5 linked regions of the Xenopus tropicalis genome follow. The protein of the gene in region 3 purifies or fractionates together with the protein of the main gene of each other region. This does not show direct contact. Links are inferred from orthologs where the notes say so. Each region holds a gene or a part of one and is shown on either strand. Other genes may lie near its edges.

Evidence for each region. The genes of interacting proteins can lie anywhere in the genome.
Region 1: the proteins of polr3b (region 3) and uri1 purify together in Homo sapiens (affinity purification with mass spectrometry; 4 studies listed by BioGRID and IntAct, with this or other methods). This does not show direct contact. The link is inferred for Xenopus tropicalis from reciprocal best matches to the Homo sapiens genes POLR3B and URI1.
Region 2: the proteins of polr3b (region 3) and polr3k purify together in Homo sapiens (affinity purification with mass spectrometry; 6 studies listed by BioGRID and IntAct, with this or other methods). This does not show direct contact. The link is inferred for Xenopus tropicalis from reciprocal best matches to the Homo sapiens genes POLR3B and POLR3K.
Region 4: the proteins of polr3b (region 3) and polr3g fractionate together in Homo sapiens (co-fractionation; 4 studies listed by BioGRID and IntAct, with this or other methods). This does not show direct contact. The link is inferred for Xenopus tropicalis from reciprocal best matches to the Homo sapiens genes POLR3B and POLR3G.
Region 5: the proteins of polr3b (region 3) and polr2k purify together in Homo sapiens (affinity purification with mass spectrometry; 3 studies listed by BioGRID and IntAct, with this or other methods). This does not show direct contact. The link is inferred for Xenopus tropicalis from reciprocal best matches to the Homo sapiens genes POLR3B and POLR2K.

Annotation. Positions count from the first base shown.
Region 1 is NC_030680.2:71,279,342-71,283,357, forward strand, and holds the start of uri1 (unconventional prefoldin RPB5 interactor 1), read right to left. Parts: upstream 2,801-4,016; 5' UTR 2,657-2,800; coding exon 2,582-2,656; intron 1-2,581. UniProt on the Homo sapiens protein: Involved in gene transcription regulation. Acts as a transcriptional repressor in concert with the corepressor UXT to regulate androgen receptor (AR) transcription.
Region 2 is NC_030685.2:40,341,187-40,345,199, reverse strand, and holds the start of polr3k (DNA-directed RNA polymerase III subunit RPC10), read right to left. Parts: upstream 2,801-4,013; 5' UTR 2,767-2,800; coding exon 2,656-2,766; intron 1-2,655. Other genes in the region: snrnp25 (U11/U12 small nuclear ribonucleoprotein 25 kDa protein), read left to right, coding at 2,970-2,990. UniProt on the Homo sapiens protein: Core component of RNA polymerase III (Pol III) which synthesizes small non-coding RNAs using the four ribonucleoside triphosphates as substrates. Can mediate Pol I proofreading of the nascent RNA transcript.
Region 3 is NC_030679.2:15,932,589-15,936,088, forward strand, and holds part of polr3b (DNA-directed RNA polymerase III subunit RPC2), read right to left. Parts: intron 333-3,500; coding exon 203-332; 3' UTR 1-202. UniProt on the Homo sapiens protein: Catalytic core component of RNA polymerase III (Pol III), a DNA-dependent RNA polymerase which synthesizes small non-coding RNAs using the four ribonucleoside triphosphates as substrates.
Region 4 is NC_030677.2:178,954,538-178,958,484, reverse strand, and holds the start of polr3g (DNA-directed RNA polymerase III subunit RPC7), read left to right. Parts: upstream 1-1,147; 5' UTR 1,148-1,330; intron 1,331-3,947. UniProt on the Homo sapiens protein: DNA-dependent RNA polymerase catalyzes the transcription of DNA into RNA using the four ribonucleoside triphosphates as substrates.
Region 5 is NC_030682.2:128,131,348-128,135,600, reverse strand, and holds polr2k (DNA-directed RNA polymerases I, II, and III subunit RPABC4), read right to left. Parts: upstream 2,801-4,253; 5' UTR 2,687-2,800; coding exon 2,626-2,686; intron 1,789-2,625; coding exon 1,696-1,788; intron 383-1,695; coding exon 360-382; 3' UTR 189-359; downstream 1-188. UniProt on the Homo sapiens protein: DNA-dependent RNA polymerase catalyzes the transcription of DNA into RNA using the four ribonucleoside triphosphates as substrates.

The DNA.
Region 1 (4,016 bases), on a different chromosome or scaffold from region 3:
GGGCTGCTGTCAGTCACCTTTTGCTTAGGGACTGATTCACAATGCACAGTATATTGTGAATTCTAGTTTGTTAATATAAAGCATATTTGTAATTAATTATATTCACAATAAATGTCACTATAGAAACCAATGTGTTCTGCATTGAGAAATGGTTATTAATCAGCTACTATGACCTACATTTCTGTGCAGCACAAATGTGGATTTCTGTGCAGGATTCTGCTGGAGAAGCTCTATTAATGGATGTGTTTTTTGGGAGAAAAAAAAAAAACATGACAATATTCCTTTAGTCCTCCTTTAAGGCTCACTACAAATTACTTTTTACATGTATTCTGGATTTCTTTCTAGATTATGCATTTGTCTCCACTCCTGTGGGTCCATGCTTTTAGGGCAAAATTAGATAACTATATTGATGGGCAATGGGACACATAATACTGTACCAGAAGACAAATGCATGTACAGAAAAAGTGGGCATAAATTTTAAAGGCAAAAACATATATGTGCCATTTGACATTTGTCATAACTACATAAATGACTTATTCGATACACATACAGTGACAAATGCACTAAAAACAAAAAAAGTCTGTGCAACAGTGCACAGTGTGATACACAGTGAGAAATCAGAAAATTTCTAATTCTGCTTTGTAATATCGTAATAGGATTATTAGCCCTAACTCTACAGATGATGCAATACAAGCAAAAATTACTAGTTATACCAATATGTTAGCCCATAGGAACCCAAATAAGGGCTTTGGTATTCTACATCCAGTAAACTGATTCAATGAGCGAACTGATCAACAGCAACGTTTTACTGAACCAATGCACACTTGCCCTATGTCAGTAAATAAACCCCAGCCTGTGTTCTTGTGTTACCAGAGGGTAAGAAGACTTGAGAATCGGAATCATCCAAAACTCCTTCTTAAAATACCTCAGTCTATACTTTGTACTTAGAGATTTAAAGCTCTTAGCTTCTAATCAGAAGCTTGGAAGAATGTCATATTCAGCATTATATAAGCTTATAATTCTTTGCAAATTAACCCTTTTGTCTTGCTGCACTGCATGTGCACCAGTACAAAATATGCTCAGTCATTGTGCTTACAGCCCACCAAATTTACAATATGTTAAAAATATGCAAAACTTGCTCACTCCTTCCATTAGGAACACTATGCTCACATCCTTCCTAGGCTAGCTCTTCAGTTTTCTAATTGTAGGCAAAGGATTCAGGTACAAGCTTTCAGCATGGATTATTAAAGGGATAACAATACGGGTGAAGATACAAGGAGCTATTAGTAGCAGCTACAAAAATAGACAGTGCTGATCATTTACTGATAATTGTCTCTACGTGTGTGTTAGAAGAGGCAATTCTCAGTATTATCTATGGTATGGTATTTTCTGGAGTTTAGTAGCCATTACAAGTAGCTGCTACTAAGTAGCTCCATGTGTCTTCACCCTTACACAGCTTCAATGAACACTGTAGAGTCCAAGATAACTATATTATTGCCTCTTTGCTCTCAACTACGATTCCAGTAATACTAGTAAGTGAACTGCTAAGCAGAGGAACTGACCTGGTTAGGATGAGAAGAGGTAAAAGGAGCCAAATTGTCCTTTACATTGCAAGACATGAAGTGTGAGGCCTTCTGAGAACAGAAGGTATTTACATGCCTCATGCCATACCAATAGCACTGCCTATGACATTTAGACTGTTCCTGCTACAAGAGGTACTCTGGTGTTTGCATTAATAGCTGGCACAGCATTACTGCTCAAAAAAGGTGCAAGTCCTGCCACTTTTAAGACAACTGCAATTTTATAAGATAACAAGCTTTATTTACTGAATTGTTGTCAATTTTATGCCCAATGTAACTTTTATTTCTTATGGAGCACAACACTGAATTTGAGTCAACTCAAAGGTCACAGTGGTACATTATGCTTAGCAAAGTCAACCGGCTGAGTTAGATCATGGCTGTGCATACTGTAGCCCTCCTGTTAAAAAGATGCTGGAAGCGTCTCACTGCCTGACCCTAACTTATAAACAGGGTACCTGTCAAATGTGCACAGACATGACAGAGTACTGTGTTCCCTATGGGATTAAGCATTTACACCTTAACATTTTCAGATTTTATGGCAGCGCCAATGGTAATACTAAGCTGCATATTCTGGTGCAAGTGGAACTTATATAACTTTCAGTAGCTGTACATCCTGCTCAATAACATACATCCTCCTTTATTTGTTTTGCTTCTCAGTTTCCTGTGCTACCTTCCTGATGGCCAATGCTCAGCCCTGTGTCATAATGGCCCTGTGTCATAATGCCCAAATATAGTCCATTTTGTACAAAACAATGGGCTCCGACTAGTCTAAAAGTTACAGTGATAAAAAGCAAATGAGTGATGTGCTGCTAAGTGGTTTATTCCAACTGTGTGCTCTTCTCTTTGCTGGGGAACAAGCCCATACTGTCTATATTAACCATGGTACAGGCTGCCCTAAGCCCGCTGGGCGCACTTGTACCCTAGTGCATAAGCGCTCTGCCCTGGCTGGCTTATGCTCTGCCACATTCACATGTGTAACATGGCACTCGTCCTCTGTTTACCTTTCCATGCTCTTCCTGAAGTCTGGCCACATCACTGGAGCTCAGCAGTTTCGTACCCTCCCTTATCTCTTCCATGCTTTCCGTCCGTCGCAAACCCCTTTGCCCCGGAACTCGGGAACCGACCGTGGTCCCACCTTCTCGGGCCCCGACTCTGAGAGTCCCACTCGCATGAGCCACTCAGGCACGGAAGGAAATTCACCTCAAACTCTCGCGAGCATGAGACCTGGGAAATCTCGTAACTAGGAAGCAAATGCACGTGGGGACTGTACGTTTCCAAGGAGGAAAGCTTTCATCAGCCTGACTCTGCTACTGTGTTACTGTGATACTGTTTTACTGTGTTACTGTGATACTGTGTTACTGTGTTACTGTGTTACTGTGATACTGTTTTACTGTGTTACTGTGATACTGTGATACTGTGATACTGTGTTACTGTGTTACTGTGTTACTGTGTTACTGTGATACTGTGTTACTGTGCTACTGTGTTACTGTGCTACTGTGTTACTGTGATACTGTGTTACTGTGTTACTGTGTTACTGTGATACTGTGATACTGTGTTACTGTGTTACTGTGATACTGTGATGATACTGTGTTACTGTGTTACTGTGTTACTGTGATACTGTGATACTGTGTTACTGTGTTACTGTGCTACTGTGCTACTGTGTTACTGTGTTACTGTGCTACTGTGCTACTGTGCTACTGTGCTACTGTGTTACTGTGTTACTGTGTTACTGTGATACTGTGTTACTGTGATACTGTGATACTGTGTTACTGTGATACTGTGCTACTGTGATGATACTGTGCTACTGTGCTACTGTGTTTCTGTGCTACTGTGATACTGTGCTACTGTGCTACTGTGCTACTGTGTTACTGTGATACTGTGATACTGTACTACTGTCTGTGTTACTGTGCTACTGTGTTACTGTACTACTGTCTGTGTTAAACTGTGCTACTCTCGTACTGTGTTTCTGTGCTACTGTATTACTGTGATACTGTGTTAGCACCTGCTGCGTGTGTCACGTCTGCAACTGTTAACTTCACTCCCACATTCCCACATGTAAATGTCAGTACATACTCTGTATTCTTACTGGATCATTAGCATGCTCAGCTGCAGTCTACAGTGCGTTGAGCCAATCACCAATGCTATTTGGGATGTTCAGATGTTCCTCGTGTTATTAACATTTAGTAAATTATAGCTGGACCTCTATTAAGTAACCTTTTAATTAGACTTATTTTTTGTGTATTTGTTTTATATTTAGCATTCAATATTTTTCATCTTTCCAGTCAAAAAATCATTTGGCCTTTATGGCGCTTTTGACCCCAAGCATCTCAAAACAGATCAACAGATTCATTGTATTATGATTTTTATAATTTATTAATTTTTTAGGTCCACTATTATTGATCTATTCTGTCTTCTAATCTGTTGCCTAGTTGCTTG
Region 2 (4,013 bases), on a different chromosome or scaffold from region 3:
ATGTCGCAAGATCCAGGAGAGTTTGCGAGGGCCTGCATTGGACCTAATTAAGCTCCAACGAGAGGTGTGCCCACAAGATGGTCCTGAGAAGTTGATAGACGTACTGGAAGATACATATGGACCGGTGGAAGATGAAATTGAAATGTTGTACAAATTTCAGTCTTGCATGCAGAAAGAAAAAGAGAATCTGTCTGAGTACTTGAAGCGACTGCAGCAAATGCTAAAATTACTTGTTTGCCGAAGAATCATTGCTACAGATCGTGTTGATTCTATGAGGCTACAACAGTTATTCAGAGGGGCTTTATCTATGGACCCCACAGCTGTGATGTTGAGATCTTTCTACAGAGGAAAGAAAGAACCAACTTATCAGGAGCTGATCCGTGAGATCCGAAAGGAGGAAGTTAATGTTCTGCGACGAGAGAAGAAAAGACGTGGTTCTGAAAGGACATCCAGTGATTCGCAGAAAGCGGAAGAGATTGCCGAGTTAAAAAAACAGGTTGCTCAGCTCAAGGCTCGTGTGTCCGAAAAGGAAGAGGGGTCAACTATGTCTAGACCCTCTTCATTTCCTAAAGCAGGTGGTGCTCGCGGTGACCCACCAAAGTGCTTCCGTTGTGGCCGGTTGGGCCATATATCCCCACACTGTCCGACGCAACGTGAAAATGCTGCAGCTACAGAAGTTATTTCATATGGCTGTGCTGTGAGGAAGCCACCCCAAAAGAGGTATCGGAAGAGACGTAATCAGGTGAGGTGTTACACCTGTGGTTGGTACGGTCATACTTCCCACACCTGTGACTGGGGACGGAATGAAGACTTCACTGATGTATATGTGACATCTTTCCCATGTGAAGTGAATATTTGTGAAGAGAAATCCTGTGGCACGAGGATGGTCTCTGAGCACTCTGGCACCCCCAATAAAAGTAAGAGACTGGGCCTGGGAATGCGTAGACCTTCAGGCAGGGGAAGTGTCAGGGCAGTTAGTGAGGAAGCTTTCCCCTGTGTATCTCCCCCAAAGGTTAGGGAGAATAAGAATGGTGAGAAAGGGCAAGCGAGGACGTTGCCCATTCAAGCAGGGGGAGAATGTAGGGAGGTAGTGCTGGGTCCCTGCACTTACCCCCCTCCTGCTGCTGTTCCCTGTAGGGGAGCTGGCACTGAGACTTTGTGCTGTGAGCTGCTGCCTAGCAACAAGGTGAACAGCAAGCTCAGGGCTGCCGGAAGTTGCAAAGCAGCCTGGGAGAGGAAGTCAGTGGGAGGAGAGAAAAAGCCCCAGAACTCCAGAAGCTGCACGTGGGCTCAGAGAGAGGAGCAGCACAAGAAGAAGCTGGCCTTTGGAACAGGCTGGTACAGGGAAGGCAGACCCTGTACCTGGAGAGACAGAGATCCTGTGAGGAGTCCTGACTGGAGGAACAAACACCTGCAGGGGAATCCCATCTGAGTAGCTAAAGGGGCTAGTAGTCGCACTGCATGGCTGTGAGTGCTGGACTCGCCTGAAGATTCTGTGTGAATCACCCAAAGAGATTCCTGGAGTGAGTATCATTAAAGTGAAAGTAATAAAGGAGCGCTTGAAGATTTAAACTATATAAACTGTTTCTTTTGGGACTGAGCTAAAGGACTGTACATAGTTAGTGAGACAGCTTGCGCTGGCAAAGCTAGTTAGTAAGGCCCTTATTGCCACTTGGATAGGAGTGTTATCTGTATTAGTTTCCCCTTTATTTCAGATAAAAGTTATTTCGTTTATCAAGTACTGTGTGTGCATTATTATTGTTCCTAGTGGGGCCACCCGTAGGTGCACTCCAGGATCCCACTAGGTGGAGGCACTGCGCTAATAAGTACCAGGTACCCAGTCTCTCCCAATACCACTGCGGAGTGATTCAGGTTTGTCCCGTGCCATCAGGTAAGCGCCACTCGTGGAGTGTAACACTGTCAAAGGTGCCAGAAGTGGTGAAGATAGGGTTACAGTATTTCCCCTTAAAGTTTGTCAAATAAGTATCTAGCGGTCAGAACTCCCTATGTATTAATATATATTCAAATGTATTTATTTAGATATTATTTATGAAAGTGTTAGGACACATTTTATAATATATATTTATGATATTAGTGTGCTTTAGCAAGGTAATGCACTTCCACAGGGGAAGTGATTGTGCTGTGGTGTTCTGGGTATTGTGAATTTAGGGTTAAAAGTGTGCCCTTCTATGATGATTTGTTCCCAGAAGGGTAATAGCCAAAAAGGAAGAAAAGCAAGACCTTGGCCACAAACTAGCAAAAATCAGACAAAAAAAAAAATCACAGGTCATATGCGTATATTCAAATGTTCATTTTGGGGGGTGGGGGTAGCAGGTGTATCTATTTACTATGCATTTTATTTAGTATTTATCATAAAACATAAATGATAAGATCACCTTTTTAACTTTGTAAGTCTATTAAACTTACACAATTTAGAGCTAAAAGCCCCAGCCATTACCAGAATATGTTGTTAGCAATTTATACAGATTCATCCCGCACTTAAAAATCAGCGCATTGTACTGTTGCTAATGTAATGTTATCTGCCAATTAGCAATGCTTGGCATACACAAGGCATAAAAAGGCTTCGTAGCCACCAGGACTACACTTACGCCGCTTAAAACCATATTTCTATCACTTCAGAAGACCTCATTATACCTTGCGATTAACGTTGTGCACATAAGGGCAGGTATTACAGGCAAACCTGTAGCACTTCTGTCCCTCCTCCACGATCAGCACATTCCCACACGTCGGGCAAAATAGCAACATTGCTGCTAACAGATTAGCTCAAACTTCGCATCAACCACTTCATCCTCCAGACGCCAGTACCGCTGCCTAAGCAGAATGATCACCACGCGTTTGCCCTAGCCTCGCATTCACCTACATTACATCTTATTGCGCACGTTTCCGCCCGGTGATGACGTCTTTAATGGGCGCCCTAGAAATCTGCGACAGTTCCATTTGTAACTTGAATGAAACGGTGTGAACTAAAGGTGGGTAGTGGAAATTGCGTTGAAAAACTTAACTCGAAATTCTAAATTTCTACATTTAAGTCCAGCTCCCAAAAACTGATAACACGAGAAGAGCAATTTTTGCAAAGCAAAAGCAGAACTAGAAGTCTTGCAGCCATTTAAGTTGAAAAGGAGAAAAGGCACAGGTTTGGATATCATATAACATATATGCTCTGTAATAAAATGCAGTGGTGGTATATTCGTGTTAATCTGGTATCTGCTGTGTATCCTGTGCCTTTCTCCTTTTTTTATCTTGAAGTGCTTCCTCCATGGCTGCATAGAAGCTTGTTTATATAAACTATTTATATTCTTATTTATATACGGCTGATGCCGCATGGAAACCCGCATGCAGATAATCAGTCCCTCCGCTGACAGCCTCCTACCTTGCCTGCACCAGAAACTATTGGGCTGGCCTGGGTGCAGGCACACATGGCAGATATCAGCAAAGAAACTGTAAATTTAGCATTTTAGAGTGGATATTCATATTGTATGCTTGCACCTGGGCCAACGCAGTGGTTTGACCTGGAAAAGTAGGAGGCTGATGCCCAAGGAACTGATTCTTGGCCTGTGGTTTTTCATGTGCTGAGAATCAACCCCACATGGTATAAGCATTACAGTACTTATGTACGAAGCACTGTACAGCAGAGCATCTAATTGATAGAACCAGGGCCACCATCAGAAATCGCGTTCTTATAGTAAAACGGTGGTGTGTATTTCTTTTTCTCAGGCTTTGACCAGTCTCTCCTATATACAGTCCTCCTGTTCAGTATCTAGTGCACTGTATTAAGTACACCATATTGGAAGAAGAACAGTTGTACTGACCATGGATGTTGTATTCCTCTAATGTGTCTGAAATCTGAATTACAGATGTGTGGGCAGGTTTTGCATTGTTTTTTTGCCACAGGGATAAGTTCCTTTTTTGTTGGGTTGAATTAAGGCACTTCTTGTTATTAGTTGTTTTAGGTTTGGGGGCTGCCTGAATGCCAGAAGTGGTGGGTCTGGGAA
Region 3 (3,500 bases):
AAATACTGAACTGAATCCGAATCCTAATTTGTATGTGCAAATTAGGCTACGGAGGGGTTAAAGAGAACTGTGTTTATGTTACAAAAAGTCAAGTGATTTTAAGGATTCGGAGTGGTTCGGCTGGATCCAAATCATGCTGGAAAAGGCTGCATCTTGGCCAAATCCCAAGCTGAATCCTGGATTTGGTGCATCTCTAGTCAGTTTATTCATTATACTTGGCCAGTTTGAGTCTGGGGATAATATTCATTGACTGGAGCTCTTGGAAGAGCAACTTGCAGGCGTAGGGGATCCTCAAGGAGGAGACATGACAAGACGACTTGCAGAAATGGCACCTAGACACAAGGACAAACAACCATTAGCAAGGGTTCTTTCTTAAAGGGAAACTAAAGCTCAACAAAAAATCAAGGCTAAATAACGGATTTATACTTACTTAAATTCCTTTTCCCTCAGTCCCGAAGGCAGCACTTACTAGAGAGATGACTTCCACCTGGTAGGAAAACACCACACCCCCCAATTAATTACTCCACCCCCTCATCTCCTATAAGTCCCTCTGCTTCCCTCTAGCCCTCAGTGATTTTCTCAAGCAATAAGACACATACACAATGCTGATAGAATATTTACTGTAAGGGAGGGATATTGTGCTGCCTTCGGGACTGAGGGAAAAGGAATTTACGCAAGTATAAATCCGTTATTTCCCTCACGTCCCTTGGCAGCACTTACTAGAGAGAGTTGAGTAGCAGTACGTCAAGGGGTTTTTTTTTTACAATTTGAATAAAGTACCGTATTTGCGAACGCCACTTCCCCAGGGGTACCTACGTTCAGTCGGTAATGCTCTGCAAATGTTCTGAAACTTGCCCACGAAGCTGTTCTACATATCTGGTCCACTGACACACCTCCAACTTCTGCCTGTGAGGCTGACACTGCTCTGGTAGAATGTGCCTTGAGGTTTGGAGGTATTGATTTTCCTGAAGCAGAATAGGCTAAGGAAATTGCCTGTTTTATCCATCTGGAAATGGAAGTTTTTGAGGCACGCTTCCCCTTGTTCTTTCCCCAAAAGGAAACGAAAAGGTTATGAGATATACGAAAAGGTTTTACCTTGTTTAAATAGAACAAAACACATCTTTTGGCATCCAGTAAGTGTAGCTTTTCCTCCACTTTATTTCTTGGTTCTGCAAAAAAAGCTGGAAGAATGACTTCAAAGTTTCTATGAAAATTAGATGAGACTTTAGGTCTGAACCAAGGATCTGCTTTGAGAATGATCCTGTCTGGAAAAACTTGTAGACACGAATTTTTACATGATAAAGCTTGCAGTTCTCCTACGCGTCTGGCTGAACAAACTGCCACTAAAAATACTGTTTTAATGGACAGATGATACAGGGAAACTTCTTCCAAGGGTTCAAAAGGAACATTTTGTAAGGCTCTTAACACAATGTCTAAGTCCCAATTTGGAGTTAGGTTATTTGTCTTAGGTCTAATATTTTGAACAGCCCTGACAAATCTTTTGATCAATGGATGCTCCGCCAAGGATATGTTCTTGAAAGCTGATAAGGCCGCAATGTGTACCTTAAGTGTATTTGGAGCTAATTTCTTCTTAAATCCATCATGTAGAAAATCTAATATGATTGACACTGGAACATCTTCTGGAGTTAGTTTCTTATTTGAGCACCACTTCCTGAAACAAGACCAAATTCTTTGATAAATTTTATTTGTAATTTCTTTCCTGCTCTGTAACAGAACTTCAATGACTGGTGAAGATATCCCTTGTGCTTTCATAACATCCCTTTCAGTCTCCATGCTGTGAGCTGAAGAGCTGCAGGGTTTGGATGCAAAATTGGTCCCTGGTGTAGGAGATTTTCCTTCACTGGAAGGAGCCAAGGAGGACTGACAGAAAGTTGGAGGAGACTGGAGTACCAACTCCTTCTGGGCCAGGCAGGAGCTATTAGAATCACTTCTGTTGAGCAAAGTGCAATTTTCTTGATCACTCTTGCTAACATAGGGATAGGCGGAAAGACATATGCTAGGCTGAAATCCCATGATTGGGCTAGAGCATCCACTGCTTCCTCGCCTTGGCCTGCTGTAAGGGAAAAATATCTTTGATGCTTTGCATTGTACTTTGAGGCCATGAGGTCTATTTCTGGAGAACCCCAGACCTTGCAAATCTGAAGAAATGTTTCTGGATCTAGACTCCACTCCCCGGGGAGTATCAACCTGCGACTTAAAAAGTCTGCTCTGATATTGCTGTGCCCAGAGATATGGCGGGCTAGAATACTTTTTAGATTTTTTTCTCCCCAGCCCATGATCTTTTTTATTCTCATTCCCAGATCTTTGCTTCTGGAACCTCCTTGGTGATTTATATAGTAGGCTGTTGCCACATTGTCTGTATGTATTAGAACATTTTGGTCTTTTACAATAGTTTTGAAAGCAAGCAGAGCTCTCCATACTGCTTCCAACTCTAAGGAGTTTGCTGCCTGATGACCAATACCTTTTTCCCAGATACCTTGCTCTACCAGGTTTCCTAAATGTGCTCCCCAACCTTTGCCACTTGCGTCTGTTGTGATGACTAAGGGAGGAATAGGAAATAGGGATGAACCTTTTGAAAGGTTCCCTGGGTGTAACCACCAAGTAAGAGATTTCTTTATTTCCGGTGGAACATAGAGTTTCTTTCTGAGTGATGCCTTCTGATGATCCCAAACTGAGTTCATATATTTTTGCAGGTCCTTCATATGGGCACGACCCCATGGAACTGCTTCTAATACTGCTGAAAAAAGACCCAAAATTTCTAAACCCTGCTTTATTGAAGAAAATTTTTTGTTTTGAAACTTGCGCACTCTGTCTCTGATTTTTTCCCTTTTTCCTGGAGGAAGGAAAATTCTTCCTTCTTCTGTGTTCCAGATCATTCCCAAAAACTTTATCTCTTTTGTAGGATTTAGATTGGATTTTTCCCAATTTATTAACCAGCCCAATGACTGGAAAACCTCTATTGCTTTGAATAGGTTCCTTTGTAACCCTAAATCGGTTTCTGCTTTTAGTAGACAATCGTCCAGATAAGGAATAATAGCAATACCTTGAGTTCTTAAGTACGCTGCGACTACTATTATTACCTTTGTAAAGACTCTTGGTGCACTCGATATTCCAAACGGCAGGGCTGCGAATTGAAGGTGTTCTGTTCCTGCAGGTCCCCTTATGGCTACTCTTAAGAATTTATGGTGACATTCCCTTATGGGAATATGAAGGTAGGCGTCTTTTAGATCTATAGTACACATCACATCCCCTTCGCGAAGCGCTAACAGGGTGGATCTTATTGATTCCATTTTGAACTTCTTCTTGAATATAAATTGATTTAAATATCTTAGATCTATGATGGTTCTGTATTTCCCGTTTGGTTTTGGTACAAGGAAGATTGGGGAGTAGACCCCCCTGAATTTTTCTTTTTGGGGTACCTGAATCAATACTTTCATTTCTTTGAATTCTTGGATTGCTAATTCCATGGCTTGTTTTGC
Region 4 (3,947 bases), on a different chromosome or scaffold from region 3:
CAGAGGCTATTATCCCCCCACTGCTACTATAGGCACCATCTCTCCCTACTATACCTGCTATCCCACAGCCACAGTCCCTTCCCAGAGGCTATTATCCCCCTGCTACTATAGGCACCATCTCTCCCTACTATACCTGCTATCCCACAGCCACAGTCCCTTCCCAGAGGCTATTATCCCCCCACTGCTACTATAGGCACCATCTCTCCCTACTATACCTGCTATCCCACAGCCACAGTCCCTTCCCAAAGGGTATTATCCCCCACTGCTACTATAGGCACCATCTCTCCCTACTATACCTGCTATCCCACAGCCACAGTCCCTTCCCAGAGGCTATTATCCCCCCACTGCTACTATAGGCACCATCTCTCCCTACTATACCTGCTATCCCACAGCCACAGTCCCTTCCCAGAGGCTATTATCCCCCACTGCTACTATAGGCACCATCTCTCCCTACTATACCTGCTATCCCACCGCCACAATCCCTTCCCAGAGGCTATTATCCCCCCACTGCTACTATAGGTACCATCTCCCCCTACTATACCTGCTATCCCACAGCCACAGTCCCTTCCCAGAGGCTATTATCCCCCCACTGCTACTATAGGTACCATCTCCCCCTACTATACCTGCTATCCCACAGCCACAGTCCCTTCCCTACCTACTATATTCAATATATCACAGACTCTTCCCAGAGGCTACTATTTACACTACTTTGCAAAAGCTGAACATGCCCTTTGACAGCATTTTGACGAAGACAACTATGTCAAATTTAGAAAGATTAGTAGTTAAACTGGCAAAAAGTAATTTACTCCAACTTTTTAAAAGAAAATAAAAACAGTGTGGCATAAAAAGAAAAACATTTGATATTTAGACAAATGCCAAATTTATCTTCTCTGAACAGACATATTGTATAATATTTATTTTCTGGGCTCCAGCAGTTGCACCTCACTGATGGTGGCTGTGTAATGCATGATTAGAGCTAACTGCTGATAGTTGCCAGTACATTAGTTTTGTGTTCCCCTTTAAGAACACATAATGATCAATGTACAGCGCCTTTCCACTGAAAGGGCTGTGCTTCATGTTGTGTTTAGTAAGCCTGAACACTAACAAAGGGAAGCTCTACCCTATATAGTTTTACTGCTGAGCAGAACCTAATTAGTTTAGAATCAGTTACACTGCCTGATGCTCGTTAGGACTTGCTGACAAGCACTGCCCCCACTGGCTTATCCCTACTGCACCAGGATTTACTTGTGAATGTCATTGTAACGCAGATTTGGTGAATCAGCCGAGTTCTATGTTTGATTCATCAGCGAGAAATTATATCAGACTGAAGGTAAAATGATTCGCTTAAGTATATGAATTTAATATCATGTCTATAATTCTATTAATCTATGAAAACACCCAAATGTAAGATGTGTTAAAGCACAGATATAAGCACATTTTAGGCCATTATAAAATCAGTTACAGTTGGATCAATGATATTTAGCAGCATTGGCACAGATTGGCATATTGGGGCTTGCATTTATTGACTTCTACTGAAGCTGAATGTTGAAATGTTTTTGAATGTATTATTTAATAATGAGTTAAGCTTGTTTGCCTAAAGTGGGCCTATGAAAATAAATGCCTTTTAATATTTTATTGTTCAACTTGGGGTCCTTCAGCTGCTGGAAGCTGCAACTCTTAGTGCTCTTAGCTGGGTGTGGTTGGGGCATGACAGGGAATGCTTTAGGGCAGGACATAGAGAGCTTCTAGTCCTCATCATGTCCTTTGTAGAAGTACAAATAACAATCATTAAAAATGTATATTCTTATATACATTCTTAGTTTTTACATTTACAGTGTTGCCTGTGGCCCTTCTAGTTTTGTTCAACTAGAACATTCAATGTCAGCTGATGACTTTCAGGTGATTATAGCAGCTGTACCTGGGGGCCTATTTAGTGTGCTGAGTAAAATGGCAAATGTCACCATCTGAAAGCCAGACTTTATGCCATTATTCTATGCAAGCTACGTAATTACATTGTTTTTTACACAGCGAAGCCTCGCAATGAATGACGAATTTTGCTGCCATTTTTGCACAGCATAATAAGTAGGCATCTTAGTGTGCTGTAATTGGTGCAAACCCCAGCAGGTGTAATTCATTGCTATCAATTATTTTAATGAGAATGTTGTAAGAATACACCTGAGCTTCACTAAAAAAAGTATATAATTTTAAAGGGAAAGCTATGTTGATGAACAAAAGCTGGAGGGCTGCAATTTGGGCATACCTAATTTTTATAGGGTCATAGCGCCTTAACACAGTGAGGTGAAACATCTCAAAAAAAATGGTACGGCCGACCCATCAAATCAAATGGTACGGTCTGACCCCCCCTCAAATCAAATGGTACGGTCCGCCCCCTCCAAAAAATGGTACGGTCCAACCCCCCCCTCGAAACAAATGGTACGGTCCAACCCCCCTCCAAAAAATGGTACGGTCTGATCCCCCCTTCAAAAAAATAGCATGGTACGGCCTGATCCCCCGTCGGAAAAAAGTGGTACGGTCCGACACCCTCTCCAAAAAAATGGTACGGTCCGATCTCCCCCCCAAAAAAATGGTACGGTCCGACCCCCCCCTTCAAATAAAATGGTGCGGGCTGACCCCCCTCCAAAAAAATGGTACGGTCCAACCAAAATTTTTTGGAATGGGGGTCGGACTGTACCATTTTTTGGAGGGGGGCGGGGTTGGACGTACCATTTTTTTGAGAGGGAGGGATGGACCGTGACATTTTTGGAGGGGGGGTCGGACCATACCAATTTTAAGAGCGGGGGAGGTCGGACCGTACCATTTTATTTTGGAGGGGTAGGACCGTACCATTTTTTAGAGGGGATGGGGACGGACCGTACCATTTTCAAGAGCGGGGGGGTCGGACCGTACCATTTTTTAGAGCGGGGAGTCGGGCCATACCATTTTTAGAGGGGGAGGGGACCGTACCAATTTTTTTCGAGTGGGGGGGGATGGACGTACCAGTCGGACCGTACCATTTTTAAGAGCGGGGGTCGGACCGCACCAATTTTTATGGGGGGATAGGACCGTACCATTTTATTTTGGGTGGGGGGGGGAGTCGGACCGTACCATTTTTTGAGTGGGGGGGATGGACCGTACCATTTTTAAGAGCGGGGGGGGTTTCGGTCCGTACCATTTTTTTCGAGTGGGGGGATGAACGTACCATTTTTAAGAGTGGGGGGTCGGACCGTACCATTTTTAAGAGTGGGGGGGGGGGTTCGGACTGTACCATTTTTTGAGTGGGAGGGGGGTCGGACCGTACCATTTTTAAGAGCGGGGGGGTGATGGACCGTACCATTTTTAAGAGCGGGGGGGGTCGGACCGTACCATGTTTAAGAGCGGGGGGGTTCGGACTGTACCATTTTTTGAGTGGGGGGGGGGATGGACCGTACCATTTTTAAGAGCGGGGGGGTCGGACCGTACCATTTTTAAGAGCGGGGGGGGGGGTTCGGACTGTACCATTTTTAAGAGCGGGGGGGTCGGACCGTACCATTTTTTGAGGGGGGGGGTGGACCGTACCATTTTTAAAAGCGGGGGGGGGGGGGTCGGACCGTACCATTTTTTGAGTGGGGGGGGGGATGGACCGTACCATTTTTGAGTGGGGGGGGGATGGACCGTACCATTTTTAAGAGCGGGGGGGGGTTCGGACCGTACCATTTTTTGAGTGGGGGGGGATGACCGTACCATTTTTAAGAGCGGGGGGGGGTTCGGACCGTACCATTTTTTGAGTGAGGGGGATGGACCGTACCATTTTTAAGAGCGGGGGTGGTTCGGACTGTACCATTTTTGAGTGGGGGGGGGTGGACCGTACCATTTTTAAGAGCGGGGGGGTCGGACCGTACCATTTTTAAGAGCGGGGGGGTTCGGACTGTACCATTTTTAAGAGCGGGGGGGGTCGGACCGTACCATTT
Region 5 (4,253 bases), on a different chromosome or scaffold from region 3:
ATTTACAGTAATATGGTAGGTGCAGGAAACCAATTAGGTTGTAGGCACAGCAAAATACAGCCATACTGACAGGATTTGCAGCAGCTAAAAGGGACCTGTTGGACTGCAACTTCATTATAAGACCAGAGAGGTGGTGATATGCAGCAGTTTTCATTACTGAGAAAGAATTACGCTGATGACAACGAGTTATGTTTACAAAAACAAAATTCTAAAAATCTTTATTACAAAACATGTAATACCTTGCTTTACACAAGAACAAGGAACACTATCATTAATTAACAAAATCTGATATATATGTAACTTAATCATATATATATGTAGAGCAGATGTCAGACACATGTAACTGAATTTTATCCAGGTCAGCGAGCATCAAACACAACCACTGAAATTGAAAGAATTAAGGAAATATTGAATCAGATAATGGAAAATAAAGTGTAGCACTCATGTACCATAAATAAATTTGCAGTAGATGTTAAATAAATCCATTTTACAATTTAGTGGATTGTTATGTATGGTGTGAAGTTCCCCTTTACAAAGTACTTTTTGGCTTTAAATTTGTTTCCAGCTCTCCCTTAATCTTCCTCTCGTGACTGAATAATGCTTATGGCACATCAACTATTTGTTCTACTGCTGCCATACTCCAAAAAAACACTGGAGGAAAAAACACCCCTGTCCACCATAAAGCTGGCCATACACGCACCGATAATATCGTACAAAACCTTGTTTCATACGATATTTGATGCGTGTTTGGCAAGTCGCCGAGTCGACCGATATCACAGGAGGCTGCTGATATCGGTCGACTCGCCGATCGGCCAGGTTAAAAGATTTTGATCGGGCGCCATAGAAGGCGTCTGAGCAAAATCTGCCATCAGGGCTGAGTCGGCAGAAATCATATTGTTTCTACCTCCTTATCTGCCGTTTCAGCCCTGAACGTTAGTGGCGGTTTCAACAACCTTAACTCTCCTCATATTACGAAATGGAAAGCACCATAGCTAACAGAGCAGAGACACACATTGGGGTCAAACGTTTTGCTTAGATTTTATTTTGCTTATTCTTTTAATAAAATGCATTATTTGATCAAATGCTTTTTCCTTCTTCCATAATTGTTTTGAAAAAATAGTTGCAAAAAGAAAGTTCTTTAATTACACTTTCTGCACAGTTTAGTGGAAATGGTAACAAAAACAATTAATGTTTTTCAAAGGGGAAGTTCACCTTCAATTATGTTTCAGTATGTTTTAGAATTAGCAATTCAGTTGCTAAACTATTCAATTGGTCAACATTTCTTATTTTTATTTTTTTTTAGCTTTTAATTTGATTTGGGGCCACTGTGGGAATCCAAACAACTATTGAGGTTACAATTTTATTTGTATTGCTATTTTTTTTACATCCTTCTATTTAGGCCTCTCCTATTTGTATTAGTATTTCTCATTTACACCACTGCATGGCTGCTAGGGTAATTTGGACCCTAGCAACCTGATATCTGCTGAATTTCCAATCTGGAGACAAATAGCTTAATAATTAAAAACACACACATATAATACAAAGACCAATTGCAAACTGTCTCAGAATATCATAAAATTGAACAACCCCTTTAATGGAAATAAGTTTAATACAAGCCTATTTTACAGGCCATTCTCCGTTCCTACACGCATTCAGTCTGGAGTAAATGTGCAGGTAACCAGAAAAAAAGGATACATCGTTTTGTTCTTTTCTTGTACATTATTCTGTAACCACATTCTCTGCACCTGATTGGATCTCTCGCTTTTATTTCATTTTCCGTGTGACATTCTAAATAAAGATGAGAGAAAATAACATGCAGTTTAAAATCTAAAGAAAATCAATGTTGATAAAGACTAAGATAAATATACAAGTCTTGTAAAAAGACAATGTCTGCAAGGACTGTTGTGAGTTCAAATGGAACAACACAAAAATAAGATGTTTATATTCTGGGTATTGTGAGGGGGTCTTGTCTGGGTGCCTGTATCCAATGTTTCAATCTAGTGGTAGCTCGCTATTGATTCGTAGTTGCACTCTCTTCTCTTAATATTATCCCGACATTTGCAGACACTAGCCAATTAACATTCTCAACATGATCTAAACTAGCACTGCAATCACCAGTATCATTCAGCTCTCCTGAGAATGCTGGAAACTGCAGGGCCTCTTGAAATCATTTTTTTCATCAATAATTGGCTCCCTTTAATTCATGACCAACAATGGCATTTAAAAGCCCACATTTATCCAATTCAGCTCCCTAGTGAATACAGGAGCTCCCATGCCTCCATCTTTCTGCAGTATCCCAATAGTTCCTAGTGACTAGTCCCAAACACAGGAAACAGATGTACAGAACCAAAAGTAATGCATATGCTCAGTGCAAGGGACTTATGGGAAACTAATTAAAATGGCACAGGTTCAACTAGTTTAGAATATATATATTCACTGGAGGGTTTTTTGGGCATATAACTTCTCTTTAGGATATTAGGCACTTTTGGCAAAACTCAGGGTGGGATGCTGGGATTGCAGGTGACCAGGAGCCGAAGTTGTAGGTCCCTGATGTCTTTTGAATCCAATAACTTCCTCTAAAGGCACCCCCGAGTAAAACTGACTGCTTTGAGAGAAAAACCTTACCTCCACAAATGTATATCATCGGCTGCTGCTTAGGAGGAGGTGCGTCCTTCTGGCCTTCCATTTTTTCACCTGAATAACATAAATTGCGGGTATTTTATTCCTGCAGAAAAGTCAATTTGCAGTTACAGCCTTTCTCTCACTCTCCCTACCGTAACGTCACTACATACAATAAATGTGACTACTCGGCCTACAATATATCGGCACAGCACTGCTTTCAACTCAGCATGCACCAAACATCCGAGGCGCACGATTCCTACGACATCAGAAAGCGCTCCTACGCGTGACGTTCGCTGCGTGTGTGCGACGGCCATCTTTAGTGTGGGCAACTATATGTTTCCAAGCTTTATTAGTATGCTAGTATTCTTTCACTATGCAGAAAGGCACCGTTGCTATTCTGCATTATTAAAGTGATTGTATGGTGTCATTTATTTATATAATAGTATGAATTTTCTGATTTTATTATGGATTTCAGGTATGGCGTTTGTTGCTGGGACGCCTGTCTTATATACTATTGTTGCTGTGAAAAATGTACTCTAAACATGCTTTTGTGCCGGAATTTGCTTTTATATGTGCAGACAGTGAATCAAGAAACTATCATACCACTTGGTGCCAAAAACAATGTTTTGTTACTGATCCTTTAGGAAAACTAATGCTATCATTACTACTTATTTTAAATTTATCTAATGCCAACCTTAGATAAAGGCTGACATTATAACAAAGTTTTTTTTTTTAGAAATAACACAATTTCCACTCATCACTTTAATTAGTTGATTGGAATGGCTGAACAAAGGCATCATGGGTATGACTGAAGAAAAGCACCATGGGTACTTATCACATGACCTTTGGAACACATTTGAAAAAAAGTGGGGGGTTTACAGGTTTTCCAGTTTTAGCTCAGTTTCATTGATCCTGAGCAAGAGATAGTCTCCAGGTGACCCTCCAGAGAGGATTCAGGTGAACAGAAATATTTCATTGTGAGGATTTTATTACAGGTTTTATTGGTGGTTTTTGAAATAGTTTAGCAGTTAACTGTCTCCTGGCTGTTGGTTGTTTCAGCCTAATAGTTTGGTTTGGTTTCTGGTTGGAAGCAGGATATTTGTATTAAAACAGATACTGCAAATTCCCTAAATCTTGCTTTTGAAAACCTTGCTTTATGGATCATGCTAAAATGTGTGCACCCCAATACTAAGCATACTTCATAAGCCTCTTGCTTTAAATATAGGCATGTATGGGTTACACCAGTGATCCCCAGCCAGCGGCTCATGAGCAACATGTTGCTCCCCAACCCCTTGGATGTTGCTCTGAGTGGCCTCAAAGCAGGTGCTTATTTTTTTTTGGAGTCAAGTTTTGGAGACCTAAAGTCCATGTGTACTGCCAAATAGAGCCTCCTGTAGTCTGCCAGTCCACAGTGGGCCATCTAATAACCAATCACAGCCTTTATTGGTCACTGCCTAGGAACTTTGTTCATGCTTGTGTTGCTCCCTACATTTTTTTTTATATTTAAATGTTGCTCACAGGTTAAAAAAAGTTTGGGGACCCCTGGATTACACTGTAGGAAATAAAGTGAATTGCAATGTTTCTTTTTATAATGAGGAACTGCTGAGCATGAGTTTAGCAATAATTCAGTG